Linked DNA regions of Ovis aries. The protein of the gene in region 1 interacts with the protein of each later gene in a pairwise test. Links are inferred from orthologs where the notes say so. Each region holds a gene or a part of one and is shown on either strand. Other genes may lie near its edges.

Region 1 (4,033 bases):
TACTCAGCACACTGTCCTCTATGAGAACATTTCAGAGCTGTGGACACAGAGGAGAAGGGTTCAAAGTCCCTCTATGTGATCTCCCATCCGGCCTCCGAAGCTGAGTTGGGGCTGGTCCCCAATCGATCTGTTGGAGGAAGGCCAAGCCCTAGACCCTAGGGCTGTCTCAGGTGACCCCAGGGCCATGTTTCCCTTCTTTGGGCCTCAATTTCTCCTGAGCAAATGGAAAAGTTTGTGGTCCTATCCAGGAGATTTCTCTGAATGAGTCCCTGTAATGTCCAACTAGGACAAGCTGCTGCTGCAAAACTATGTCCCCATAAGCATTTGCTGGTGGAAGTCCCACAGGAAGGGCTTTGCCTAACTCTGCCCCTAAGGAGTGCCTTCCCCAACTGGGCAGGCAATGGAGAGGCAGGAGGAGCCTGGGAAGGAGGAACCAAGGATTTTGTCCAGAGGGGCTGTCCCCATGCGAGTCCTGGATGCAAGAAATTCAGTCACCAGGGTTTGCTGCTATAACTGAACTTTTATTGAGAATATTCTGTGTGCAGAGCCCTGAGCACAACCTTGAAGAAAACAGGGAAGACACAGCCAAGCCCCTGCCAAGGATGGAACAGAAGAGACACTGAGGGCCCAGAGGCAAGGTCTAGCTCCAAGATGGTCACCATGGAGCCCTGACAGGGAAGGAGGAAGCACCTACCACTGCTGTTACTGTGGGGACTGGAAACCACCATCCTCTCCCTGCAAAGAGGCTGGATCTCAGTCCATTCTGACCTTCGCGATTCTACACTTCCTCCACCTCCCAGCAGCTAGGGCCTCCCTCGGGCAGAGGTGGAAAATGGTGGCGATACTGTTGAAGGCTGCTGAAAGTTAGAAGGAGGATGGCAGAGGTGGCTGAGGGAGAGAAGGGAAGAAAGGGAGGACTGAAGGGCTCTAGCTGCACGGCGGACCGGCAGGAAACATCACTGGCGCATCCACAGCCATAGGTTGGCGATGCAGGAAGACAGCAGCATGGTGAATAACAGCACCTCCCGTTGGTGCCAGGTGGCACTCTGGTCCTCCAGGTAGCGCAGACGCTCAGTAATCATGAACAGCTGCAGAGAGACCAGAGCTAGCTGGTGAACAAGGCTCTTCTAGGGAAGTCCACAGCACACCAATGGGGGTAAAATATGACTTTAGACCAAGGAGGGCCTCTGCTGTGCTTTGGGAGGAAAAGGGCCTCTGGGCAAGAAGCAGGCAGAGCAGCTGACCAGGGCTGGGGATGGGCCCAGTGTAACCCAGAGACTGGGCTGTCTGTGTTCTCAGTCCCTGCCACCTTGCCTCCACCATCACCAGTTCTTCCCATTGTCTGGAAGAAGCCAGCCCATCCCAGCTGCCAGGGAAGGGGATGGGGTGCAGCAGCACCAGAGTAAGGGCCTCAGGATGGGGTGACATGCAAGGCCAGAGAGGGCCACCAGGGAAGACATCCTTCCTGCCCATGCCCATGCCTGCTGGGGTCTCAAACCAAGGAGACCTGAACTTGGCCTGAATGAACATGACCCCTGGCTCAGTCCTCTTGGCATCACTCTCTATGAATAAACTTCTCTTATCCTCTGATGTCCCCTCTTCCTCCTCTTCTCCTCCCTTCTCCCTTCCCACATGTCAGGCATAAAGATGGGGTTGAGCCTAGGCCTCAAGATAGGACACTGGAGACAAGAAGGCTGGGTGAATGGGGAAGCAAGCCTGATTTCGCCTCCACTGCTAGCAGATGAATATGATTGGAGAGGCTGGGTATCCTCAAGGTGGGTGGCCCCACCCACCCATTCACCATGATTCTGCCTCCCACCTTCAAGTGGGTCCCTGACAATCAGACACTCACCTGTCTTCTCATGATCTCCATCTCCAGCTCATTGAGCTCTTCCAGACCAATCTCAGCCAGTGTATTTAACTCTCGGCTGCACAGAGAGTTAAACACAGAGAGTCAGAGCCTCTGGTGGTCCCAGGAGAGCCATAAAGGCAGATGGGTAAGGTTGTGGACTTCTCTGGACCATGAGTCTGTCTGCCTGGAGCTCTCCCCTTCTCTGGTCACAGGTCCTGAAGCCTGAGGGCTGGGAGCTGGCCCTGCTGTGGGATGCTAGGAGGCCCTGAACAGGCAAGGGGCCAGGGGGCTCTATGGCTGTGGTGAGGAGGCAACAGAGTCCCCATACTCCAAGCATGGCCAGCTGTTCACTGCTCCCTCTTGGGCAGTCTGCTTGCCAACTCCCTGGGTCCCTGCCCCAAAAGCCCTGTCCTTTCTCTCCCGCAGGGTCCATGGGATCCTTCTTACCGCTCATACTGGGACCTCATGCCCTGGGAGCCGCCAGGATTCTCCTGGGGTCGGGCACCACCATCGCCTTGTTCTCCCACCACTCCAACTCCCCGCAGCTGCAGCCCCTAGGGAAAGGAACCATCAGTCAAAGTATCCTGCTTGGGCCCATACTTTGGGAGCATCAGCACACCCCATTGGGAGTCACGTGGAGCCTGATCCTCCAGAATCAGAAGAGCCTGGGAGTCACACAGGTTGGCTGCCTGCCACCACCCCACCTCCACCAGGCTCCTCTGGCCATGGGGCTCTCCAGGCAAGACTTCAGGAGTGAGTTGTAATTTCCTACTCCAGGCGATCTTCCTGACCCAGGGATCAAACCCACGTCTCCTGCATTGCAAGCAGTAAGATACCTCAAAAACAGCATTAAAAGGACAGTGTGTGTCAGGAAGACTTCAGGACTATAAAGAAGAATTAGATAGAGAGTCTCTCCTAGAAAAATTTCCACAATACCCCCTTGATTTTCTTATAGATTGGGATCAGAATGAGAAAATGCTTTTTGAGAGAGTTGAAGGCAAAATAAGGATGAGTTAGTAGGGTGTATTGTTTGTTTGTTTGTTTGAGGTAAAATATTTTATATTTAACACATCAATATCTTAAGAATTAATTTAACAACATATGCAAGCCTGATGATAACTTGTGATCACCAATCATTTGATAGGTCTAACTGTCCAAAGGAGTTGTCTTTTCTTTCTTTTCTTTTTAATTTTAGAAACTCTCTACTTAGAGTTATATACATTTCAAAACATCAGATTTTTATTTACATTTGATGGGGATTTTTAAAATCTATGAACTGCAGCAAGTGCAGCCTCCCTCTGTCAATTATTTCCAAAAATGTTATTTTTATTTTCATTTATTTTTTAAGGCACACTACATCATTTTTCCCAAATGAGCAGAGTAGTATTATGAATTTTTTTTTTCTTTCATGTTGTGGTTCTCTCAGAGGCAATAGCATTTCATTAACATTTTACTCAAAAATAAATAATGAATAAATATATAGAATTTATACATTTAATTCTAAGTGTCTAAATTTAATTTCTACAATCAATATAAGGACTCTATTTTTTAAAGGTATATTCCTCTAGTCCTAATAGGCAACTATAATTAATCTAGAGATTAATTAAACCCCTCTCAGTGCCCCCACCTTCTACATCAAAGTTAGAACATAAGCAGCTTGCCCACATCCAAGGTGAATATAGCTAACAGAATCAGCCACAGAACTACTAGACTTAAGTGATTTCATGAAACAATCAGGTCTCCCTCCTCCTCAAAATGGCTGGCTTTTCCCCATATTTAATGCATGTGAAGAAGATATGGTAGAAAGTGAAGAACTAAAGAGCCTCTTGAAAGTGAAAGAGGAGAGCGAAAAAGTTGGCTTAAAGCCCAGCATTCAGAAAATTAAGATCATGGCATCTGGTGCCATCACTTCATGGCAAGTAGATGGGGAAACAGTGGAAACAGTGTCAGACTTTATTTTGGGGGGCTCCAAAATCACTGCAGATGGTGACTGCAGCCATGAAATTAAAAGACGCTTACTCCTTGGAAGGAAAGTTATGACCAACCTAGACAGCATAATAAAAAGCAGAGACATTACTTTGTCAACAAAGGTCTGTCTAGTCAAAGCTATGGTTTTTCCAGTAGTCATGTATGGATGTGAGAGCTGGACTTTAAAGAAAGCTGAGTGCCAAAGAATTGATG
Region 2 (3,500 bases), on another chromosome or scaffold:
ACAGCTACTGGACAAGCTCCTTCTCAGGATGGGGCGGACATTGCTAAGTGTAGGACTTCAGACCTGAGGTGAGCGCCGCCCATTGCTACCCTGCTTACTGCCCGCAGCAGTGTTTCTCAGACTGGGGTGTCATGCATTCTCATGATACACACACACACACTTGTCCTTTAAAAGGGAATCCATGACTATTTAAGTTCGACATACCCTATTCAGCAGAAAATATTTAAGAGCCGTAATACTAGAGAAGTCCTCTCTCTGAAGCTTCTCTGACACAATCCCTTCATTTCCATCACCCTTGGCCCTGCCCCACGCTCTGTTACTCCCAGGCCTGTAGTCATTTAGATTGCTTTATCGTAAGCACCCTTATCCTTTCTGCTTTCTCTCCCCCTTCATCATTCCTGCTTCTGTCTTTGTTGGGCTTCCCTCGTGGCTCAGCCGGTAAAGAATTGGCCTGCAATGCAGGAGACCTGGGTTCGATCTCTGGGTTGGGAAGATCCCCTGGAGAAAGGAACGGCTTCCCACTCCAGTACTGTAGCCTGGAGAATTCCATGGACTGTGTAGTCCATGGGATCGCAGAGTCGGACGTGAGTGAGCGACTTTCAGTCTGTCGCGGTAAAGTCCTCAGTCCTAGACGCAACTGAAGTGGCCCCTTGCCTCTGAAGCCTACCCTGTTCCTCCACAGGCAGAGGAATCGCTCCCTTCTCTTCTGTCTGGGTCCCTTGGTAGAAAGTGCTGTTACAGCTTGCGCACGCGGCAGTTAGGTTTATTTATGACTTGTCTTTCTCTTCCTGGCTGCTGTGGGAAATCTACTGCCTTTTGTGCCTGCCGCACCCAACCCAGCACATAGTCAGGACTTATCAGACGTCTGTTGAATAAACGAATGAGACAGTCTCAGTTTAGTTCAGCCCCGGAAAGCACCTGGCATGCACAGCTGTCTGTCTCAGGGAACTACTCTGCTACGAAAACCACTTCCTTAAGCAGCAGGAGCCCTGAATACAGACACCCAAAGTCAGGTACAGTGACCGACGGGAAGAGGGCTGGCTGAGCCTTGGAGGTCTCTGACGTCACTGCAGGCTTCGCAGTTTTGTCCCACGCCTGCCTGTCCCGGGTGGGCTGGCTTTCTAAGCACACCATCTGTGTGGACGATCAGATGCTCACAGAGGCCTGTGAGGCCTGTGTGTTCTATCTGTACACCTGTGGCTTTCTGCTCTGGTGGCATCAAACTGCTTGAACACTGCAGTCTAGGAATTTCAGTGTGGAGTCCAAGGACCCCCGGGAATCCAGGATCTGCAAGGTCTTCCCTTTTCCAACTGTGTTTCTGTGTAAGGTTAGATTTTCCTCATATATTTCAACAAAACAATGTATTAACAACAGATTGAATGCAGATGCAAACATGGGAGTCTAGCTGTCCTCTGTTCGGACATTAAAAATACTCGCATAAGTATAAAGCAGTGCTACTTCTCTCACTATTTAAAAATATTTTCCAAACAGTCTATAATTTAAGTTCCCATGTAGTCTGTCTACTGTTATTTTAAACTTAGTGCATATTTTAAAATTCCTGTTTTCACTTCTAAATGGTAAATGAAAAAATTCTTTGGATTTTAATATTATTTTTTAATAATAATGCTACATGTGGTGTCTTAGCTCCCCAACCAGGCTTTGAAACTGTACCCTTTTTCACTGGAAGTGCAGAGTCTTAACCAGTGGACCACCAGGGAAGCCCCTGGATATTAATACTTTTTTAAAGAATATAAAGGTGTCCTGATAATAAAAAGCTGGCGACTATATCATGCCTCTGGTTCTTTGCCTGTGCTGTATCCCCTGACCAGAATATAGTTCTTGTTGTCACATTTGCCTAGAAAATACAATATGGATAGTCAATGCCTTGAAATATAACTGTAAGTACTTCCCTGGTTCTCCCCTTGTATTCTACCATATCCTGAAAGCGCTTTTTTTCTTTCTCATATCTCTTCACTGTTTAGGCATCTGTCTCCCTGAGAAAGCCACAAGCTTTCTAAAAGCAGGAACCCTGTCTGATTAATCTCATTATTTCCAGTGCTCAGTGCAGGGAACGTGATCTGTGGATATTTGTTGAATGAATGAACTAAAATCAGGAGGTCTCAATTTAGTTCCAGTTCTGCCTCTGACTAGCACTGTGACTTTAGCAAGTCACCTGACTTCCCTGACAGTTTCCTCATGGGCAAAATGAGAAAATTAGACTAGATAATCGCTAGGTCCCTTCCTGCTTTCACATTCATGTCTGGGGCGAGAAGTAGGTACATGGTGGCTGAAGTTAATATTGATATGAATTCCATACAAAAACAGTTGATATTTACCACAGTCAGTAACAGGAACTGTATTGAGACCATCTTTTGTTTCTTCCAACAAATTAAAAAAAGGAGGGCCTTTTTTTGATTCTGGGTCTTCCCTGGGTGAGTGGCAGCATGGTCCTCAGCTGACGACCCTGGATTCAGCCAAGCTCTCCCATATATCTACTGTGACATGTTGGATGTCTAACCCTACCTTCGGCATCTTCCGTAGTAAGAAAGCTCCTTCTCTTGCTGCAATGGTATGGAAAGAAGAACGAGATGGACACATACAGAAGCCCCTGAGCTTTGTTCAAACAAAGGTTTCCCTTACCTTCCAAGTGCTATCAGAGGCCTGAATCAAGGTAGACAGTAGGTCTTGGAGAATCACCATTTTCTGTTTTAGAATCAGCTCCCTTTGTAGGGCCTCCTGAGGGGCAAAATGCAAGTGGGTTAAAATTAACCTGGAGGAGACGTGAGCAGACAGATGGAGGAGCTAAGGGGAAAGTTCATGCTACTTACTTTGAGGTACTCAGAAAGCTGGATGATTTCCTAGAGAGAAAGAAAAAGGGTGTTTAAGAAGACTGTGGCTTTCCCGAAATCCTAGAACATGGAATCTGAGCCAGGATTGGCTTGTGCTAAGTGAATTTTCTTCCTGGACTCAGGGTCCCTCCAGGCTTCCTTGTCTGTGCTCATCCAGGGAGAGGATGCCCCAGCCATCCCAGCTAAGTTTACCAATGAATTCTGGACCTTGAAGAAGATTAGATGCCATGTGGTTCTACACCTCCACCATGAGGATTTCCTTACCTTATCTAGAACTGCAACTCCATAACTGGAAGAGAAGAAAAACAAAAATGGCAGTGGATTAAAGAAACAGGCGTGTCAGGAGGCAGGGTGTAGATTCCTTCTGTCATCTCTTCTGGAGAGCCAATAGGGTGGGAAGGCCCTCCTTTTTCTTAATTAAGGTGGATGTGAAAGTTCCTTGTGTTCCACTCCACAAAATTCTGGGGGAGGGTATTCAAGTGAAAGCTTAGAAGAGAGGAATGGATGGGCTTTGGGGGAGCTGGGGCCAGGAACATGAAAGGTACTCACTTGGTTTGCTGACTGGCATCATTCTTGATTGTTGACTGTGTTTCTCCTGCCTTTGTCTGAGTGCCTGAGAGGGAGGGGATGAGATGATTCAGGAGGCCTGGG
Region 3 (4,105 bases), on another chromosome or scaffold:
CCTCTTATTCCAATATTGTGCATTGTAACTGTGGTTAGATCACAATCAGTATTTATATTTAACGATGTAAATGCTATTCATAGCTGAGCATGTAGTGTTCCACTGTGGTTTTTCCTTTTCTGCACGTGTCTTTGTTTCATATTATACAACTGTTGCTTTCTTCCCTTTGCTCAGTTTTCTGCCTACTCACCAGTTGATTATTCATCCTTAGACTCTCCACCAGCAGTGTTAATCTGCTCTCAATTCATTCAGTCACAGTGAGGGTGCCTAGCTGTTTCCCTTGTCTTCACACAAGCATCTTGTTCCCTCCGCTTACTGACATCTTTGCCTGTTGAGACCTGAAGATGCAAGTCTGGGTGTGTGGCAAAGGAGGAGGTGGATCCCAGTGCCCTGGCCCTGACTCCTGAGGGTCAGAGGCCTTCCAAGGAACCCCAGCTTTCCCACAGTGATACGGAGCCATGGAGGCTGTTCATGAAGTCAGCCCACTCTCCTGGTACCCAGATGTCTGCTCAGCATACCCAAGGGGACTCTGTCCTCTTTTCTCTGTGTTTTTGGAACACCACCCCAAACCACAGTGAAGTCTCCCAAGGGCTTTAAGGCTCATCCAGCTCTGACACTATCATTGGCTGAACTGGTCTAAAGCCACATCCTATGACCCGGGCTGGGTTCGAAGAGGAATGGGACCAACTGGCAGACAATGTGGGTTCTTCTTCTGGACCTTCTGGTTGCAACCAGAAGTCTCTCTGCTTCTCCAGGTCTCTTTCTTCACATGTGCAATGGGTTTATGGACCTTCCCTGTCAACCTACAGAGTTGTGAGGAAGGTTACATGAACTGGCAGGTGTGAACGTGCTTGTCAAGTAGTAAAGGTGGGCACATAAGTGGCTGCATGAATGAGAGTGAGAGCCAGGCCCAAGAAAAGGGGAAGCAAGAGCTGTTGGCCTCGACATTTCTTACTACTCACCTTCTGGGCCCTTCCATATCAATGCCCATATATGTAGTCTGACACCGGAAGAGAAGCTGGGTGTGTAAATGGCTGATCACATTAGCGTGCATTCATTTAGTGTTCTACTTCCCTGAGGCACTTTAATTGAGTGGAAGAAGGGAAACACAAAGGAAGGGATTGATAATGTAGAGACACAGGTATCTGAGACCTGAGTATTTAATAGGAGTATAGGGCAGGAGGTCTCCCTTACACCTTGCAGGTGGCCTCACCTGGTCCAAGGAGTCCAGCATCAGAAAAGGGGAGTGGGCGGAGCTCTAGAGCCTCAGTCTAATGCCACTCCCCTTTCTTAGAGAATGGGAAGCAAAGTTTGGTGGAAACCTGGAACAGTGAGCAAATGAGTCATTAAGGGATGCTGTCTGTGTCTAAATAGCCTGCCAGGTGAGGAAAACCCACGAATGAAATGTTAACACCACTATAGCCTTTTCTGGAAAGCTGTCCACCCGCCCCAGGCTTCCAAGACTGCCCAGCTGCTGCTGCTGTTAAGTCGCTTCAGTAGTGTCCGACACTGTGCGACCCCGTAGACGGCAGCCCACCAGGCTCCTCTGTCCCTGGGATTCTCCAGGCAAGAATACTGGAGCGGACTGCCATTTCCTTCTCCAACGCACGAAAGTGAAGTCGCTCAGTTGAGTCTTCGCGACCCCTGGGATTTTCCAGGCAAGAATATTGGAGTAGGTTGCCATTTTCCTTCGCCAGGCAAGACTGCCCAGAGTGGAGAAATGACTACCTCAGAACTGGAGAGAGGCAGAAATGTCTCTGCCCTTCTCTGGCCCTCCCTATCTCTCACTGTCATTGTCTGAGCACCCCCCCCCACTTCCTTTCTAACTCTTTTTTAAGGCGAGCCCAGGGCCTCCACTCACACCCACCCACTCCTGCCAGGTTCACCGGAGCTGCCAGCCCTAGGGACAGCAGTTATAGCCCGTGGAGGATGTGACGGTGACCTCGGAGAATCACAAGACCTGGGAAAATGCAGCTGGCCCTCCCTACAAAAGTTGGTTTTCCAGACCTCTCCTCAGGACTTTATTAGATCTTTTGAAGGCAGGAGCCAAATAAGAGCATTTTTTTTTTTAGGCATGCGGGGTCACCCTGAGTGTGACTCCACTTGAGTCCCAATCCAGTGCCTCTTGCACTCACGCCCTGCCCCGGGAGGAGGCTGGCGACCAGGGCCTGCCACTGATGTGGCGGTGCCCGCCTTCCAGCACCTGCTGCTCCACAACCGGAACAACCCCTTCCACCCAGGCGGCCTTCTCCTCCTCCCAGAGGGCATTCTCCTCCTCCCAGAGGGTCTTCTTATCCTCCCAGAGGACCTTCTCCTCCTCCAGAAGGGCTCTCTCCTCCACCCACAGGGCCTTTTCTTCCTCCCACAAGGCCTTGTCCTCCTGAAGGAGGTTCCGGTCTCTTTCCCACAAGGCGTTGTCCTCCTTCCAGAAGGCCCTGTCTTCCTTCCAGAAGATTCGGTACTTTTTCCAAAAGGCCTTCTCTTCTTCCCGGAAAGATTTTTCCATTTCCCAGAAGGCTTTTTCCTCTTTCCAGAAGGTTTTCTCCTCTTCCCAGAAAGGCCTATCCTCTTCCCAAAAGCCCAAGATCTCACCGCGGAAGGCACGCATCTTGCTCCGGAAATTCCACATCTCTTCCCGGAAGTCTTCGATCTTCTCCCGGAAGTGTCTCATCTCTTCGCGGAAGGCCTTTTCTTCCTGGAGCTTGTGGATTAGTTTTTTTTGGCGAATGCTGGAGGAGGAGACCACCAGCGAGCGGAAGCAGGCAAGCCCCATCCATTTTCTCACCTTGAAGGGAAACATAGTCCCAGTTGGCCCGGATGGCGGGGTGGCTGTGATGGAGGACAGGGCCACTGGCCAGGATCAGGTCAGCTGGTCCAACCCTGTGGGGGGACGAGAAAGAACACACCCTTGAATATAGCATCCCAGAGGGCAAGCCTTGGAGTCTGTGTAGCACTATTGAGATTTTTTTAAAAAAATCTTACATCTTTTTTACATTTACATGTATCTATTCTTTTGCAAATTCTTTTCTCATTTAGGTTATTACAGAATATTGAGCAGAGTTCCCTATCCTACACAGTAGGTTCTTATTGGTTATCTATATTATATAATAGCAGTGTGTACATGTCAATCCATCGCTCCCCCCAGCCCTTACCCCATGGTAATCATAAGTTGGTTCTCTAAGTCTGTAAGTCTGTTTCTCTTTTGTAAATAAGTTCATTTTATCTTTCTTTTTAAGGTTCCACAAAAAAATTATATCATATAATATTTGTCTTTCTCTGATTTACTTCAATTGGTATGATAATCTCTGGGGGCATCCATGTTGCTGCAAATAGCATTATTTCATCCTCTTTTATGACTGAGTAATGTTCCATTGTATATATCTACCAGTTCCGCTTTATCCATTCTTCTGTTAATGGATATTTAGGTTGCTTCCATGTACTGTTGTTGTAAGCAGTACTGCAGTGATACTGCCAGGATACAATGGGGTGCTCGTATCCTTTCGAACTATGTTTTCCTCTGGATATATGCCTAGGAATGGGATTGCTGGATCATGTGCTAGCTCTGTTTTCAGTTTCTTAAGGAACCTTCATTTTGTTCTTCATAATGGACGTACCAGTTTGCATTCCCACCAACAGGGTAGGTGGGTCCATTATTGGGAAATTTTAACCATTGTTCTCTTTGTCCTCCTGCTTGTGTTTTTGAGGGACAAGCTTTGGTAGAGAAAGATGCTGGATGATCATGGCTTTGGGCTAAAGAAGTGGTCAGTACATTCAAAGCTCAAGGCCACTGAAATAACAGGCCAACAAGGTCAGTGGTTCTCAACTAGGATGTCAGGGCACACAAGTGTGATATGCTAAATTAAGACATATGACAGTTTTTGTTTTGCTTTTAAATAATCAAGTGCCACAGCCACATAGTGATTTATTTGTGTTGCATCAACTAGAATATATCTGAGGTTTTGGCTCTCTCACTGGGGAGTTGCTCATAACCTTCTGATGGGTGTGCTCAAAGCAGGGGGCCACACATGTGCATGTCCTATGTTACAAGCCATGTGGGAAACAGAAGATGAAACCCTTGGACCTACAGGAGTCAGTTTAGTAGGAG
Region 4 (3,500 bases), on another chromosome or scaffold:
AGGTTTCTAATTCTACAATAGAGTCTTTGATTCGTAAAAATCTCCTTTTGTCTACCTGTTTTGGCAATTCTGACTTTGGAACACACTTCAGTCCTGAATGACACAGCCAAAGGCTTAGAGCCTCCCCTGGACATATTCCACCTGTAGATCTGGACAGTTATCCAACTTTAAAAGATCTATTACTGTAAGATCTGGTTAACTAGCCAGAATACTAGTTAGAGAACTTAAGAGACAGAGAAAGAAAGAAGAACCTAGATCAAGTTAAGATCAAGATTTAAGTAGAAGCAAACATCTTAAAAATTAACAGGAAAATTGAAAATAATACTTGTCTAGTCTTTAAAACAATCTAAATCAGTCAGCTTGCTTTCATATGAAATTAATTTGTAACCCACTCCAGGTACTTTTTGTGCATGGCAATACCTTAAAGTAGGAAAGAGAATCAAACATTTCCTCAATCTGTTCTGAAGACTGAACAGATGATGATGATATTGGATGGGATGAATTCAACGCATCTTTTCTCATTGTTTTAAATCGAGCATCTAAGAAATCTTCATACTACAAAAAATGAAACAGAATAAAGAAACTGTGAACAGTATTAAAGACAGAGGCAAGTTTAGTAATTATTGATAGGAATTAGACTAATTACTGTTTAAGGTCATTATAAAAAAAATCAACTAGCTTCACTAAACTTTAGAAATAATCTGTTGAAGATATAGGAAGAATGTGACATTTATGCATATTTGTTAAATTTGAAAATAAAATTACAACTTCCACAAAAATCAGTGTTCCCTAAACAACAACACAAGGATACATTAAGAGTTTATTACTAAAGCGACCATATGCTAAATCCAGTTGTTCAAATGATTATTTAGAAATGGCTAGTGAATATTTGTAAAATAAAATCTTAAATTAAAAAAAAAAAGGAACTGCTCCTTAAGTTGATTTCTCATACATAATCCAGCTTTTCTATTGAGATAATATACATTTCCCTTGACTGAGGCTATTCTTAAGTAAAATATAAGTCTTAAACAGAAAGGAGTCTGAGAGTTCAACAGACCAGTTCCTCTAGAATATATACTAAAAGCTTTTAAACATTCTGGGCACCACCAAGTGGTGAAACTGTATATCTCTTTGTTTAATTAAGACCCATACCCAGATTTACATTACTTTGCTTATTAATATTCAAGCTTAAACTGACTTCATTTTACCATTTGAAATCTTTGAATAGGCCCTACACAAAAATTTCAAACTGAAAGCTCTGAGAGTACTCATCTTTTGAAGCACTTTTGGATCATACAGTCAAGAAGCTTAATAGAAAGTCACAGAATTCTATAGTAGAAACGGATTCTTATACTTTTCCATTTACTGCTTGAATTATTCCACAATATCTGTCATGTATGACCTATGCTGCGTGCTTAGTCGCTCAGTCGTGTCTGACTCATTGCAACCCCATGGATTGTAGCCCGCCAGGCTCCTCTGTCCATGGGGATTCTCCAGGCAAGAATTCTGGAGTGGGTTGCCATGCCCTCCCCCCATATAGGACTTAGTATGTCCAAATCTCTCTAAGGAGAAGAAACATCTCCGGAGAGTCTAAGAACACAGTAACAACATCATCATGCTCTCTGTAACAGAATGGGGTTCCACGGCTTTGAAACGGGCACAAAATATGGTTTGGACCTAAAAAGAGCAAATTATTTGTCTCGCTGTGTATCACTGTTGTAAGAATGATCACAGTGATAATAGCATTGCCACAAAATGTCTTCATTTCTTCTCTATAAGGAGTATAAAAAGTTTTGTTTTGCAAATAAAAAAAAATGCTTTCCAACTCTATCTAAATTCCTTAAAGCAGAAGGGCCACATCTATTAAACACAGAATTTAGCAAAGCAATTTGAAATGTTCATCTTAATGACAAAGTATAAAATAATTTCACATTATTTCTGCTTTCTGAAATCCATCAGTAACTAAAAGCACAATTTTCACTGTCAAATCTCAAGAGGTATAGAGATCAGTAACAAGTCAGTTTTATTGTATTTTTCTAGAAATATTTTCATTGCTCCAAATGCATGGAAAATACATGTCCAGTATGATTGGACTATTTTTCTTCCTGGCATTCACAGGAGGCCTAACAAACAGCGTACTTACACTGGAGAGCTCTCCGAATATTTTTTCCAAAGAGAAATACTCCATGAATGTAGCAAAGCCTTCATTCAGCCACAGATCATTCCACCACTGCATTGTCACCAGGTTACCAAACCACTGCGGGAAAGAGCAAACAGCTAACCAACTTCACATTCTCAAGACTTTTCTAATAATCGAATTGTCAGATTAATCGCCTATGACCAGATTACCACTACTTAAAAGTATACTTATTGCAGTTAAAGCAAACTATATTCAACTTTAAGTCTTACAAATACATTGCATTTGTGATATAAATTTACTTTAAAAGTAAAACTGTATACATGGAGTAAATTCACTTTTAAAGTAAAATTATAAATTTAACATTTTACCTTACATAAAACAAACAAAGACAACTGGCTTATTTATCAGTTTAACAGACATGCTGTATAGTAGGTAGACAAAAACTGTTTTTAGTCACCTCATTAAAACATTTCCTAGATAAATTCCTCTACTTTCTAGTATCAAGTTAGTAATATTATTTTCCATCATGTCTACAATCATCATGACAACCCAAAAACGAACGTCTGTATGAGGGATGTTCCTATAGTCAGAGAGCCTGCACTGCATGCTTCTCCTCAGTTACCACATTGAGTATTTACATGATTCAAAACAGAATTCAAACAACATTCCCTAAGAAATTTGGCATGCATACAAATAAATAAAATCAGAAAGACTTTTAAATGGCTTTTTTCCATGAAGTAATAAGAAGGAAAAAGAAGATGAGACACCCCTAAAAAAATTCATCTCAAAAATCCCTGAAATGAAGCGTGGCCAATAAAAAGCGTGCAGTTCAGTCACTGTGGCCAAGGGCTCGGCTCAAACCATCAGCAAAATGACAAGATTACTAGGTACTGAAACAAAGCTCTATGGAGAATCACAAAAGCATATTTTCAAAGATTAATATCTTAAAAACCTCTTTCAGAAGAAGATGACTTCTAAGTCGTAAAGAAGTACAAAGGAAACACTCCTGCTGTGGTGATGGCCGGCCCCAGGAATAACAGACCTGGAGCAGATCCCCTAAAAAACAGTTTGAATACGTGCGTAACTGTAAGAGCAAATACGCACACGCTTCATAAGCCAGCCTGTCGAGAAGTCCTCACAAGGCCCGGTGCGCTGGGGCTGTGGCTGAGGTAGGCGGCCAACCGGCCAGAGCACGCCCCACTCTCGCCCACCTCCTCCCACCGTCGCGACACCCCGGTCGGTCCACCCCACCCTGATGAGCACTGCATTGAGGGCACGAGAGGGACCAGGTACCGGGGAAGAAAGAGTGAGGGTCACGCACCCATATAATTTTCCTTCCTTTTCTCTACATCATCCAGAG
Region 5 (4,010 bases), on another chromosome or scaffold:
TCAATCCCTGATCAGGGAACTAAAACCCACATGCCACAACTTACGAGAGTTCACGTGTCGCAATTAAGACCCTGCGCTGCCACATAAAATGATACATATATATATTTTTAAATGCCGAACCTCAGAAAGGAAAGCCATCACGCAGGCACAGAGTTGGTGAGCCTGCCTCATCTATTCCTCCTGTGTGTATGTTAGTCGCTCAGTCGTGTCTGACTCTTTGGGACCCCGTGGACTATAGCCCACCAGGCCCCTCTGTCCATGGACTTCTCCAGGCAAGAATACTGGAATGAGTAGCCGTTCCCTTCTCCAGGGGTTCTTCCCGCATCTCCTTATATGTGTGTGTGCATGGGATTGAACCCTTGTCTCCTGCATTGGCAGGTGGATTCTTTACCACTGAGCCACCAGGGAAGCCCTTATTCCTCATAAGCATTAATAATAACCGACCTTTACTGAGCACCTATCCACGTGCCGGGGTCCTGTGTTCAGCGCTGTGCATGTACAACCTCTTTTGTTGGAGAAATTCTCTTTTCCAACCCCAAGAAGGGAGGACACAGAGGCTTAGGGACTCCCCATGCTCCAATGGTTAAGAAGCCGCCCTGCAAGGCAGGGGACGTGGGTTTGAGCCCTGGTCAGGAAACTAAGATCCCGCGTGCCATAAGGCAATAAGCCCATGGCCACAACTAGAGAATCTGTGTGCCCCAACGAAAGATCCCGCATGACACAGCAAAGATCTCATATGCTGCGACTAAGACCCAATGCAACCAAATAAATTAATAAGTATCTAAAAAAAAAGAAGTGAGGACACAGGCTCGGAGAGGGGACAAGTTTTGCCCGAGGCCAATGAGAGGCAAAGACCAAGCTTGGAACCACCACCACCCTTGACTGCCTGTGTGCAGCAGGCCCCCCAAACCCTGGCTCCCTCGAGCAGGGCGGGTTTCCTTTCCAGTGACGAGCCAGGCCTTGAACCAATCTCTTCCCCCCACCCAAGCAGCCTCCTCTCAGGGGAGTTGTGGTGGCCACAGGTGCAAGAAGCGGTTCCTCTCCACTCACGGCCTGAAGCCTCCCCCACCAGGGGCTTCCCCCTCGCCCGCCAGCCAAAGGGCCCAGCAGTGGGGCCAGTGAAGCCCGTCTCCGCAGGGCCGGGCAGGAAGTGGGGCGGGGTTTGGGGCTCAGCGAGGTGGGATCTGGTACCCCAGGACTGCTGCAACCCAGACTAACCAACCCACTGGGAGAAGATGCCTGAGGGTCCCCAAGCCCTGCAAAGCTCACCTGCCACCATCTTTCTCCTCCTGATCTCCGCTGCTGGCCTGGGTATGTGGTTAGCAGGCAGGTGCTGGGGGAGGCGGTAGTGGGAACTGGGAGACTGTTGAGAGGGGCCCCAGGCAGAGGGGGAGGGAGAGGAGCTGGCAGGAGGCAGGCTAGAAAAGACCCTGTAGAAACTGCATCTGTCTGCTTGATTGTCTCAAACAGGCCGGTGGGAGGCTGGAGGGGGCTCAGCGAAGTTGAAGGTGCGTCCTGGCCCGGTGGAGGGAGGCAGGGGCAGGAGACACCTTCCCCAGCCGCTCATCCCCCCTGATCAAAATAAGGAACTAAGGTTGCCCTTGACTGACTGAGCTCCAGAGCTGGGGGCAGGGAGGGGACGGTGGTGGGTAGCAGTCAGCTTCAAGGGGGAGAAAAATCTTTCTCCTTTTCTGCCTTGAATCCTAGTCTTCACCCCCTACTTAGGGAACCCCCTTCTCAGTGCTGGGGGAGCAAGTGACCTTCCCCCTTGCCCTCCCACACAATGCCAGCTGGCAGGGCTGTGACCACCCTGTTTGACCAAGGAGTTGAGAGAGGCATCCAGTCACCCCAAATTTCCACTGGGAGCTGAGATTGGAGTGACTCCTCAGGTTGCTGTCTCTTACCCCACTTCTTCCTTCTTCTCTCTTCCCCACCTCTCCCCTCCTCCCTCCAAAAGAGGCAGAGCCAGCCATGCGGACTGGCCCAGGAGGAGGGGCACAGAACTGGGCCTTCCCCCGTGCCTGGGCCGCCCCATCTCCTTCGACCCAGCTGAGGCCCTCCCAGCCCTAACCAGCCAGCTCAGCCCAGTCCCTGACCTCACCCCTGGCCCCCAGCATGACACAAGCAAGCCAAGGAGAATGAGGGCCGGACCCAGGGTCACAGGGCAGGGCAGGCTCACAAACTGGCGAGAAGAGGCCCAGGGCCAAGGGACGCCTGCTGCTGTGGGTCGCAGCTGGCCCACTGGTAGAATGGGTTATGACAGAACCGATTCCTATGGGTTCTGTGATAATTACACAAAGTAAAGTGCCAGTGTGGAGCCAGGCAGGGGCTGGGTGAGAAAATAATCCAGGAGGGCCTTCAGGAGGAGGTGATGCCCAAACTGATTTTGTAAGGAGCTTCCTGGCCTGGGGCACTGCTAGTCCTAGGGAACTGCCTATTCAAGTGCCAGCGAGCTCAGAGGGGGTAGAAGCACAGAGCAGGGGGCAGAGGGAGGAGGTGGCTCTGGAGGGGCAAGTGGGGACACCTCCCAGCCCCCCCTCCACTCTGGGTGTGTCACTCACACTTCCCCACACCCCACCCCACATACACATACACACACGCAGCCAGGAGCCCTGCAGCTACCAGGGGCCGCGCTGGGTCAGTGTCCCCGTTGGCTGTCTCCAACCCGCCTGCCTCCTCTCTGCAGGCCCCGGGTGCCAGGCCCTGTGGGTGGAGTGGGGCCCACCCTCGGTGACGGTGAGCGTGGGGGAGGAGGTGCGCCTCCAGTGCATGCACAACGGCAGCAACACCAACGTCACGTGGTGGCGCGTCCCCCAAGGCAACTCCTCATGGCCCCCTGTGATGCATCGCGGGAGCCTGGGTGCCGGGGGCGAGCTGATCTTCAAGCAAGTGAACAAGAGCCACAGGGGCATGTATAGGTGCGAAGTCAGTGACGGCAAGAAGATACAGCGCTCCTGCGGGACGTACCTCCGCGTGCGAGGTGAGTGTCCATCCCGTCCATCCGTCGGGAAGGCGGGATGGAGCCCGTGCCGGCATCGCCTGCATCTCGGGCATCCTGGGTCTCCGGCTCTCACGCAGCGGCCAGTCTTCTCACCTGCAAAGCGGGAGCGGCTTCCAGGGTCTTGGGCCTCGCTGGAGGGGGCGTGGCCTAGGGGCGTGGCCAGCGGCAAGGTGGGGCTCTGAGCCGTATTCCCTCCTCACAGAGCCGCTCCCCAGGCCCTTCCTGGACATGGGGGAGGGCACCAAGAACAACATCATCACCGCTGAGGGCATCATCCTCCTCATCTGCGCCGTGGTGCCTGGAACGCTGCTGCTCTTCCGGGTGAGCCCGCCCCCCAGGCCCACCCCGCGGGAACTAGCGGACCCCCAAGAGTCCCTCCCGCCTAGAACTTGGCAGAATGGCAGCGCCCACCTCCCAGGCGCCGAGGGCCTAAAAATTTAATAGAATGAACGCATTCAAACTGTGCTGGGACCAGAGGGGCGTCCTTGCTCAGTCTCCCCTCAGGGTTGTCTTCACCTCTGGCCCCAGGGATGCCTCACTGGTCCCTCTATCCAGGAGGGCTGTACCCTTCAGATGTAGCCCAGGACGGGGAAGATGGGAGCTGGTGTCATCCCGGATGTCTGACCCCCACCGGAGACTCTGGCATGCCTGTGGGTTCAGCCGCTAAGCGGTGTGTCTGGTTCTTTTGCGCCCCGTGGCCTGTAGCCCGCCAGGCTCCTCTGTCCATGGGATTTCCTAGGCAAGAATACCTGAGCTTCCACAGTGGCTCAGCAGTGAAAGAATCCACCTGCAATGCAGGAGACGTGGGTTCCATCCTTAGGTCGGGAAGATCCCCTGGAGAAGGGAATGGCAACCCACTCCAGTATTCTTGCCTGGAGAGTCCCATGGACAGAGCCTGGCGGGCTACCGGCCACAGGATCGCAAAAAATGTCAGACACAACCGAGCGACTAAAACAACAACAAATGCTCTTTAGGCCACAAGACAACTATAGCCACTTAGTATTATTGC
Region 6 (4,299 bases), on another chromosome or scaffold:
CTGGGAAGCCCCGAGACAAGGCAGTCCCTGACTATTGTGCAGTCAGGTTCCGGAATTCTTAACCCTCATGCTATACTAACCCCCTGCACCCTCCTCCCAAGGGCCTTTTCTCACAAGCCCTCATGAACCCAAGTCTAGAACTTTCTAAACTCTCACAATGACGTTCCTTCAGCTCAGGACTTGCCTCATGTGTGGCATTGGGTTAGGAACTACCTGGAGGGCCCGGGGCAGCTGCTTCTGTTCACCTGGCACCACTGCCTACTGTGGGTGGGCTGGGCACAAGCAGGCACTGAGCCAATACCCCAGGAATGTGTGAAAGGAGGGCAAGGGTAGTGCAGGGTTGGGGGGTTGGGCATTTTCTGAGCTCCCAAGGGGTTCTGATCTCAGAATAGCCCACTTAGACTCCTGTGGGAGGCCAGAAAAAACAACAACAAAAACAGAACCCCTAGTTAATCTTTAATTTCAGATAATGAATAATTTTCTAGACTGTTCCAAATATTGCCTGGGATATAAGGTCCACTGGAGAAGGGATAGGATAACCCACTCCAGTATCCTGGGGCTTCCCTGGTGGCTCAGCTGTAAAGAATCCTCCTGCAATGTGGGAGATCTAGGTTCGATCCCTAGGTTGGGAAGATCCCCTGCAGAAGGGAAAGGCTACCCACTCCAGTATTCTGGCCTGGAGAATTCCATGGACTGTACAGTCCCTGGGGTCACAAAGAGTTGGACACGACTGAATGACTTTCACTTTTCATACTTAGATTAAAAAGTTATTCATTGTTGATATGAAATTCAAACTCAACTGGATGTCCTCAATGTCACCTGGCAACCCTAGCTGTTCACGACCTCTCAGCACTTACTTGTCTCTGATTGGTAGCAGCTAAGACCCTTAGAGATATGGTGTTTTATTTCCCAAGTCAAAGAAAGGACCAGCTATTTCACTGTGGGCAGTGAAAGCCGGCAAAGCTCACATCTGTGGTCACGTGTGGCCTGTGAGGCCCACAAAGTTTCTCCAAAAAAAAAAAAAAAAAAAGCCACAAACAGACTAAGCCCTCCCACTGGGCACTAACTGTCAAAGCAGAAGTTGGCCCTAACTAATGGTGGCCAGGAAAAGACAGAGCTTTGAAGTCTGACCGTGATGGGTTCAAATTCTGACTCTGCCACTTAATCTCTGTGGGGCCTTGACAAGTTACCTATCTGGTCTGAGCTGAAGTTGGCTCAGCTACAAAAATCTCAGAAGGTTGATACGACTAAATAAATAACCCGGCACACCACAGACGCCCTAAGAATTAGGGCTCACTCCCTCGTCAGTTCCTGCTCCTCTGTCCCTTTCCTCCTTCCCCCTTAATAATTATTTTAGGCAAGTCTCTAATCAGAGAAAAGGTAGTCGGCATTAACTGCACACAGCCTGGAACAGAGTGAATGTTGATACCAATGAACCTCAGTTGCCCTCGTGTAAATTTCTTCCCTGCTAAACCTTCAATCCAAGCCCATTCCCTTGTCACAGCCATCTCTCCCCCTGCAGCAGTTGACTGGAAGCCTCGGAGAGGTCTGCTGAAGCAAGTGTTCAATATTAAGGAAATGTGCCCACGTGAAGTCACAACACAGACCATGTCTAATAATCCAAATATGGATGATGTATTGTTCTGTAGTCATCTATCTCTTACTTTAGGACCAGACACCATGGGTGCATAATGCTTTGTCAAGGGTGAATAAGAGGGTACTCCTGCATACAATCTCAAAGGAAACTGTACCTAGGCCGCAGATGGCAGGTCTGGTCCAAGGCTAAAACCTTTCTGACCAAAGCTAAAGGCTTCAGCCTCTCAGTGGCAAACCCAGCCAAGAAACACTGGGCTGGAGGAGGGCGGGGAGAAAAAGAAGAACAGCCTTTGGCATTCTTACAGCTCAGGAAATGAAGACACCCCAGCGACCTACAGTGTTTTCCTAAATGTGCAAAGTTGGGGGATTCTGCTTTTGAGTAAATTCTATTGGTGTCTGTGTTGCTTAAGAAATAAAGACGTTGAATCTATCAACTCTGAAAAACCATCTGTCTGGGATCATTTGATTTCCTTAACTTGATCTTCCCAACAAGAGAGGCGGTAAGGGCAGTGTTGGGGGTCCAGGTGAAAGCTTTACCCCTCTCTCGGTGGAAGGCAGGTGTCCTGCCTCCAAGTCCAGCCTCGGGCTCTCCTTGGGTCCCTCCCCACCACGCTCTCCTCTTTCTCCAGAGAAATTCTGGGCGCGCAGGCCAAAGCGAGCCTCAGGGGCTCAGCGCTCCCAGCTGAACCGGTCTTAGGGAAGAGACGGCTGCTTCCCTCCTCCAGCTCCCTCTCGGTCTTTCCTGCTGGCCTTCTGGATCTGTCTTCCTGGTATGGTCTGTCCGCCCACCTCCTTACACCTGGGCTCTGTTCGTTCTCTTTCTCCCCACCACTCCACTTTCCCCAGATTCTCGGTCCTCTACCTCTAAAATCCTCACCTCTAAAATCACCTACTAAAAGCGCAAATACCCAACACGCTCCGGGAGACCCGCCCCGCCCATCGCCACCTTCAGGTTCACGGCTGGCAGCTCCATCGCGACCCAACCGGACAGCACCTGCGCCACAACCGCGGGGGCTCCTGGTCTCCGAACTCGGGAAACAAACTTGCCCAGCCCCGCCCCGCCGGCTGCCCTTTGCCAGAGCTCCAACCCCAGCTGGGCTGTGGGGGGGGGGTCACGTGAGTAGGTCATGTGACGACGGCCCGGTATCTAGGAGACGGCGTCGTGCTGCTTGAGCCTTCACTGCGCCACTGCCCAGGTAGTTACGGGGCGGGGCCGGGGACGGGGGCGGGGGCGGGCCGGGGCCGGGGCGGGGGCGGGGCCGGGGGCGGGGGCGGGGGCGGGGTGGCGGGCGGCTGGAGAATATCCAGATTTGTGTCGCAAAGGGCGCAATATCTCGCCGAGTTAAAATCCCAGCAGGTGGGCTGACGGGACCACCTGCAGCCAGGAGAACTTGGGGGAACCTCCAAGTACAATCTGCAGATGTGGTAACAGCTGGTGTCTCATCCCTGAGGGCACAGTCTCTCCTCCCTCCTTCCCCAGTGAAAGTGAAGACGGTTACCTACCTCATAGAATCCTTCTGAGGATGAATGAACTAATTCATGTTTGAAGAAAAAATACTGACACTTACTTTAAAGGTAAGGAAGACTTATTCAAGACTGTTGGGATCCCCTTGGGTCTGTCCCGCTGAGTGCTTATTCTTATTTCCAGGAGGGGAGAGACCACGTGGAAACCTGAAAGACTGGCTGGGTGGGTCCTAAGATCCTATCAAGATACAGACTCTAGATACAAAGAGCGGAGTTTTCCAGGTGGGTGTGGAGTCTGACACGACTGAGCGACTTCACTTTCACTTTTCACTTTTATGCATTGGAGAAGGAAATGGCAACCCACTGCAGTGTTCTTGCCTGGAGAATCGCAGGGACGGGGGAGCCTGGCGGGCTGCCGTCTATGGGGTTGCAGAGAGTCGGACACGACTGAGGCGCCTTAGCAGCAGCAGCAGTGGGGTCTTCTGCAAGGTCGCGGAGTCCGCTGGCCTATTTGAATGTCCCTTTTGGAGACACAGCTGTCCAGCCCCCTGAGCAGAATAGCACATCTGCCAGAGTAACAGAGAGCTGGTAAGCTTCAGAGACCGGACAGATAGCTACACTGGGCACGATTGTTGGGATTCAGAGCCCAGAGGACTAGCTGGACCAGAGAAAAGAGTTTGAGTCCTAACTTTGTCCACTTACTGGTTCTACTTGAGCAAGTCACTTTGCCTCTCTGTGCTTCAGTTTTCTGATCCGTAAAATGAGAGAAATAATAGTATCTTCCTTGAAGGATGGTTATTTTGAATTTGTTAATAAGGATTTGTTAATATGTAAAAATGTTTAGAACATTGCCTGGCAGACAGCCCTTGATCAGGACTTGCTACTGTTTTGATATTCATTATTAGTTAATTATCATAAATTATTGTTACTGGCATAGTACCTAGAAAAGAGGAATTCCTCAGTAACTAGTGGATATTATAACATTATTGTTTCCTTCTAAGAGATGTCTCCTATAAACCCTGGATCCTGCTGCTGCTGCTAAGTCACTTCAGTCGTGTCCGACTCTGTGCAACCCCGTAGATGGCAGCCCACTAGGCTCCCTCGTCACTGGGATTCTCCAGGCAAGAACACTGGAGTGGGTTGCCATTTCCTTCTCCAATGCAAGAAAGTGAAAAGTGAAAGTGAAGTCACTCAGTTGTAGAGGTGTTTAATCCAAGGATGTAGGTATGTAATAAAACT
Region 7 (3,981 bases), on another chromosome or scaffold:
GACTACCAGCTTCTCCCACAGAGAAGCTGCTCCCGCACAGAACAGGAGGAACAGGGATGTTTTTAGTGCTCTGTCATGTTCAATTTACAATTTTTGCTTATCACATACAAAGGTACCTGTGGGGAACACTGAGACAAACAGAACAAATTTTCTTCCAAAGCTAGACCTCTCTCTCATTGTCACCATTTTCCACAGGAAACAAAGACCGGTGAGTGATTCTTCAGCCATGGCATGCACGGAAGAGATATTTTCCTTTCTCCACCTTGATACATGTTCTCACACCTTCTATCTCCCTGCTCTCGTTTGTGAACCTTAGCTCATTCAAAAGGTGGCAATCAACTAACGTATACGTCCTTTCAAGGTTTTACTGGTCCCTTACTCAGGTTCTCTAGCACAGATGAGAGCTAATCATTGATTTATAAGCAAAATTCCTTCTTCCATAAAGAGTTAGAGGCCAAGAAGAGAGAAAATCAACTATACTCCAATTTTTAAAAAATTAAGTTAATATATCTTTCACACACACATCAAGAAAAGATAACTATAAGACAGGATGATAAATTCTTATGAATAAATGAATGAATAAGATGTAATGGAAGCTCAAAGAATGGGGTGAATCATTCAATTTGGGGTAGAGGAGAGAAAAAGAAGCAATTATGAGAGAAATCTTCACTGAGAAGGTAATACTTAAGCTGAGGTTGAAAGACAAACATTTGTATTTGGCTTGGGCTGTGACAGGACTCCATCCAGTATGAACACAAATAACAAGAACATTAAGCTAACAGGTGCTTTTGAGTTTTGGGGGACCTTGTATAGCTTAGTGTGGTGGTCCTCTAATGAGCCTAAGAAGAACCTAGGAAGTTGCTTAAAAATGCAGATTTCTGGGCACCCACCTTTCCAATATTTTTATTTGATTTCCAGAAATCTGCATTGAAAACAAAACCATTCACACTTTGAAATATACTCACTGAGGGTGTGTGGGGGGAGTGACATGAAATAACATTGTAACAGGACTGAAGGGAATACAAAGGAAGGTTTCAGGCGGGTGACAGCAACAGTGTGAGACCAGGAGAGACTGTGTCAGAAATGATGGCAGGTCTTTGAATTTTGTTTTGAGAGACAATGGCTTGACAATGCAGCCTTTCCACAGAGAAAAACAACAACAACAACCACCCACTCTTCCACAGAGAATGTTTGTTGAATGGCTAAATGAATGAGCGTGGACAGAAGTCTGAGAAAGTCAAGTGAAAGCTGCCTGGACTGAGTCCTGCATGATTTAACCTGGCTGTGAGGAAAACAGTTAAGAAAAGCCATCCTTGAACCACTGGTTCAAGCCTTCCAAACGCTGTCCTGATGCCATGTCCAGTTGACAGATTCATGCATTTTAATGCAGGTTTACAAACAAGGCAGATGTGATTACCCTGATCAACCATGTAAGCATGTAACACTGTTGTGTTGCCAAACCCGGATACTGGCCCTTGGAGCTAAGATCTGGGAGGACGAACACGCTCTTACATAACTTCCTAGCTCCTCAGTGATAGGGCCTGTGATTAATGCTACATGACGGGCTTTGAACTTTCTGTTCAGATAGACTCGCTTGCCTTTCAGAGCTCCTAGCAAGAGAGAATGTGTGACCCGCAGATTTCACTCTGAATAACGATCATCCAAGCCCGCAATACTAACAAAGCTCTGTGGCCCCGTTGGTAGCTTTTCTGCGCCTTACTCCTCTGATAAGCTGTCCTAGGACTATCAAGTTCTTTTTTACGGGGACAGAACATGAGAGTAATACAACTTCCTAAAACCCAGGCGCTGAAGAAAGCTCCAAAGTAGGCTGGGAGGTTCTAGGAGAAATCAGAAAAGTCCTCGAGAGCGAATAGAGTAGAGAAACTCTGGGACAGGAGGAAGAAGTCCTGCCTTCAACGCTGCTGTTTTTCACAGCTTCTCAGCTTCCCTCTCGCTGGAGCGTGGATCACAGCGCTTCCTGCATCCCAGGCGCGGCGGAGAGCTGCTGCCGCGCTCACCAACTTTCCCAGCTTGGCCGAGCCCTCTCTCCTACTTCGCTCACCCCCGGTCCCTCCTCTCACGCCCTCAGCCCCGCAAAATGCAGGTGAGCAGCCAGAGCCCAGCGGCAGCGCCTCCATCTGCTCTCCTCCCGGTCTCCCCAGGAGGCTTCTCTCCTCAGCCCCTGCGCGCCTGTGAGATGACACCTCGTCTAAGCGCCTGCAAAAATTCGTCCACGCTCCCGCCTCCAAGCCGGATCCCTCCATCCTGTCCCCGCCATCCTGGAATGGCACCTGAGGAGAGGGGAGGATCGAAGGCAGCGGCTGGCCTCCCAGGCTTGGAGAAGAGCCGAGACGAGAGCACCCCACCCGACCTCTCCTCACCTGCTGGTTCCTCCCCGCACATTAGCCCGCTACTCACCAATTCTAGGGCTCGCAGGAAGGCAAGGGGCTCCTTCAGCGCCCGGAAGGTACCTGCTGAGGCCAGCTGTGGACCAAGAAGGCGAGACAGAGAGAGAAAGAGCGAGAGAGAGCGTGAGGAAGGGGCTGGGGGACGCGGCATCCAACCCCGGGGGTCGCGCTGCATTACCCGCGCTGCCCAGTCAGTCCTACCTGGCTCACGGGATCCATAGCTCGCCTCGCTCGGGCTTCTCACCCAGCGGCGCCTTTGAAAATGAAGTTCGAGGGCCACCGCCGTCCTCGGCCGCAGGGCCCAGGGCCAGGAGCCCCTTTTCGGAAAGGGCGCGGAGAGCGAGGCGGCGGACAGCTGAGCGCCCCGCGCGGGCTCGCAGCGGCCGGGTTCTGGAAGCCTGCGCGTGCGGGCGCGGCGTGCACGGTCTGCGAGGGTGGGAGGGGCCGGCGGGGCGGGCGGGCGCGGGGCAGCGGGGAGGTGGGGAGGGGAGCGCGCCCCGCGCCCGGGCCAGGCGGCGATTGGCCGGCTGCGGGCGCCCGAAGGTGGGCGAGGCCAAGCCGCGACCTCGGAGTCGCGTCGCCGCGGGCGCGCCCTGTACCCTTAGGCTCCAGGGCAACTTTGGGGCTGTAGGTTTGGAAGAAGCCGGCTGGCACCCTCAGCAGGATGGTCCCCCCCGCCTGAAGACCTGGGTTCCAGGTAAGAAACAGGCAACCCACACCGTAAGTGAAGAGGTGTGTGCGTTCTGGAAACTTCTGGACACCAGGGACAGACCGCTGCCCTGGTCATGCGCTGGAGCCTTCATGGAATGTTCTTCGCGTGGCCCAGCAGTGCCAGGTGGTGGGAGAGATGTAAGAACAGGGTGAATACTGCCCATTCCCTCAGGGATAAGCGGGGGGCCAGGTCAAGGCGAAGGGGGCTGGCGGGGAGACTGGAAATGCACGAATTATAAAAATATGGGGCAGTATGCCGGGCAGGTAATCCCGTAGCCACTGTGTCAGGTCTGGAGCAAATTACTACGCCTGTAATTTTGAAGAAGAAAAAAAGAAAAACAAGTAGAAAATAGATTTCGTCAGGCTGAATTATACAAGGTAACATAGCTCATGAGATGCTAAACAGGGATTGGAATTCAGGTTTCTGTGAAACTCATGCTGTTTCAACTGAGATCCTCTGCCTAAAATACAGTCCTCAAATTAAGCCCCCCAAATCCATCATAAATAGGACTGAGTGCTCCCCATCTCACCTCATACACTCTTCCTCCCTTAGTGTCCTGAGCCTGCCACCAATAGTAACAACAACAAAACAGTTGAGCTCTTTCAGAAGTTGTGTTATGGGCTTGATAAACATTATTTCATTAAATATTCACAAAACGCCCATGGGTTAGTAGTAATAGTTACTATTAGTAGTAGTTAGCAGTAGTAACTACTATTGTTCTCATTTTAGAGATGAAACTGAGACCCATGAGGGGAGTATGGAGAATGAAGCCAGAGTTTAATTCAAAATAGAAAAGGAGACTTGCCTGATGGCCCAGGGGTTAAGACTCGGCCCTTCCACCACCATGGGCCACAGGTTAGA

Evidence for each region.
Region 2: the proteins of FATE1 (region 1) and TRAF3IP3 interact in binary tests that used the Homo sapiens proteins (3 or more experiments, as listed by UniProt). The two-hybrid records come from large-scale screens. The link is inferred for Ovis aries from reciprocal best matches to the Homo sapiens genes FATE1 and TRAF3IP3.
Region 3: the proteins of FATE1 (region 1) and CCDC70 interact in binary tests that used the Homo sapiens proteins (3 or more experiments, as listed by UniProt). The two-hybrid records come from large-scale screens. The link is inferred for Ovis aries from reciprocal best matches to the Homo sapiens genes FATE1 and CCDC70.
Region 4: the proteins of FATE1 (region 1) and LNPEP interact in binary tests that used the Homo sapiens proteins (3 or more experiments, as listed by UniProt). The two-hybrid records come from large-scale screens. The link is inferred for Ovis aries from reciprocal best matches to the Homo sapiens genes FATE1 and LNPEP.
Region 5: the proteins of FATE1 (region 1) and CD79A interact in binary tests that used the Homo sapiens proteins (3 or more experiments, as listed by UniProt). The two-hybrid records come from large-scale screens. The link is inferred for Ovis aries from reciprocal best matches to the Homo sapiens genes FATE1 and CD79A.
Region 6: the proteins of FATE1 (region 1) and AGTRAP interact in binary tests that used the Homo sapiens proteins (3 or more experiments, as listed by UniProt). The two-hybrid records come from large-scale screens. The link is inferred for Ovis aries from reciprocal best matches to the Homo sapiens genes FATE1 and AGTRAP.
Region 7: the proteins of FATE1 (region 1) and SYNPR interact in binary tests that used the Homo sapiens proteins (3 or more experiments, as listed by UniProt). The link is inferred for Ovis aries from reciprocal best matches to the Homo sapiens genes FATE1 and SYNPR.

Annotation. Positions count from the first base shown.
Region 1 is NC_056080.1:84,011,662-84,015,694, forward strand, and holds the end of FATE1 (fetal and adult testis-expressed transcript protein), read right to left. Parts: intron 2,407-4,033; coding exon 2,300-2,406; intron 1,929-2,299; coding exon 1,853-1,928; intron 1,089-1,852; coding exon 957-1,088; 3' UTR 501-956; downstream 1-500. UniProt on the Homo sapiens protein: Involved in the regulation of endoplasmic reticulum (ER)-mitochondria coupling. Negatively regulates the ER-mitochondria distance and Ca(2+) transfer from ER to mitochondria possibly implicating it in the regulation of apoptosis.
Region 2 is NC_056065.1:72,994,534-72,998,033, forward strand, and holds part of TRAF3IP3 (TRAF3-interacting JNK-activating modulator), read right to left. Parts: intron 3,463-3,500; coding exon 3,399-3,462; intron 3,139-3,398; coding exon 3,114-3,138; intron 2,859-3,113; coding exon 2,829-2,858; intron 2,737-2,828; coding exon 2,641-2,736; intron 1-2,640. UniProt on the Homo sapiens protein: Adapter protein that plays essential roles in both innate and adaptive immunity. Plays a crucial role in the regulation of thymocyte development.
Region 3 is NC_056063.1:21,628,193-21,632,297, reverse strand, and holds the start of CCDC70 (coiled-coil domain-containing protein 70), read right to left. Parts: upstream 2,801-4,105; coding exon 2,132-2,800; 3' UTR 1-2,131.
Region 4 is NC_056058.1:94,053,864-94,057,363, reverse strand, and holds part of LNPEP (leucyl-cystinyl aminopeptidase), read right to left. Parts: intron 2,258-3,500; coding exon 2,144-2,257; intron 556-2,143; coding exon 421-555; intron 1-420. UniProt on the Homo sapiens protein: Release of an N-terminal amino acid, cleaves before cysteine, leucine as well as other amino acids. Degrades peptide hormones such as oxytocin, vasopressin and angiotensin III, and plays a role in maintaining homeostasis during pregnancy.
Region 5 is NC_056067.1:50,930,312-50,934,321, reverse strand, and holds the start of CD79A (B-cell antigen receptor complex-associated protein alpha chain), read left to right. Parts: upstream 1-1,210; 5' UTR 1,211-1,235; coding exon 1,236-1,311; intron 1,312-2,686; coding exon 2,687-2,980; intron 2,981-3,203; coding exon 3,204-3,322; intron 3,323-4,010. UniProt on the Homo sapiens protein: Required in cooperation with CD79B for initiation of the signal transduction cascade activated by binding of antigen to the B-cell antigen receptor complex (BCR) which leads to internalization of the complex, trafficking to late endosomes and antigen presentation.
Region 6 is NC_056065.1:41,204,312-41,208,610, forward strand, and holds the start of AGTRAP (type-1 angiotensin II receptor-associated protein), read right to left. Parts: upstream 2,801-4,299; 5' UTR 2,726-2,800; coding exon 2,591-2,725; exon of another isoform or gene 2,570-2,590; coding exon of another isoform or gene 2,543-2,569; intron 1-2,542. UniProt on the Homo sapiens protein: Appears to be a negative regulator of type-1 angiotensin II receptor-mediated signaling by regulating receptor internalization as well as mechanism of receptor desensitization such as phosphorylation.
Region 7 is NC_056072.1:38,208,312-38,212,292, forward strand, and holds the start of SYNPR (synaptoporin), read right to left. Parts: upstream 2,801-3,981; 5' UTR 2,628-2,800; coding exon 2,610-2,627; intron 2,485-2,609; coding exon 2,419-2,484; intron 1-2,418. UniProt on the Homo sapiens protein: Intrinsic membrane protein of small synaptic vesicles. Probable vesicular channel protein.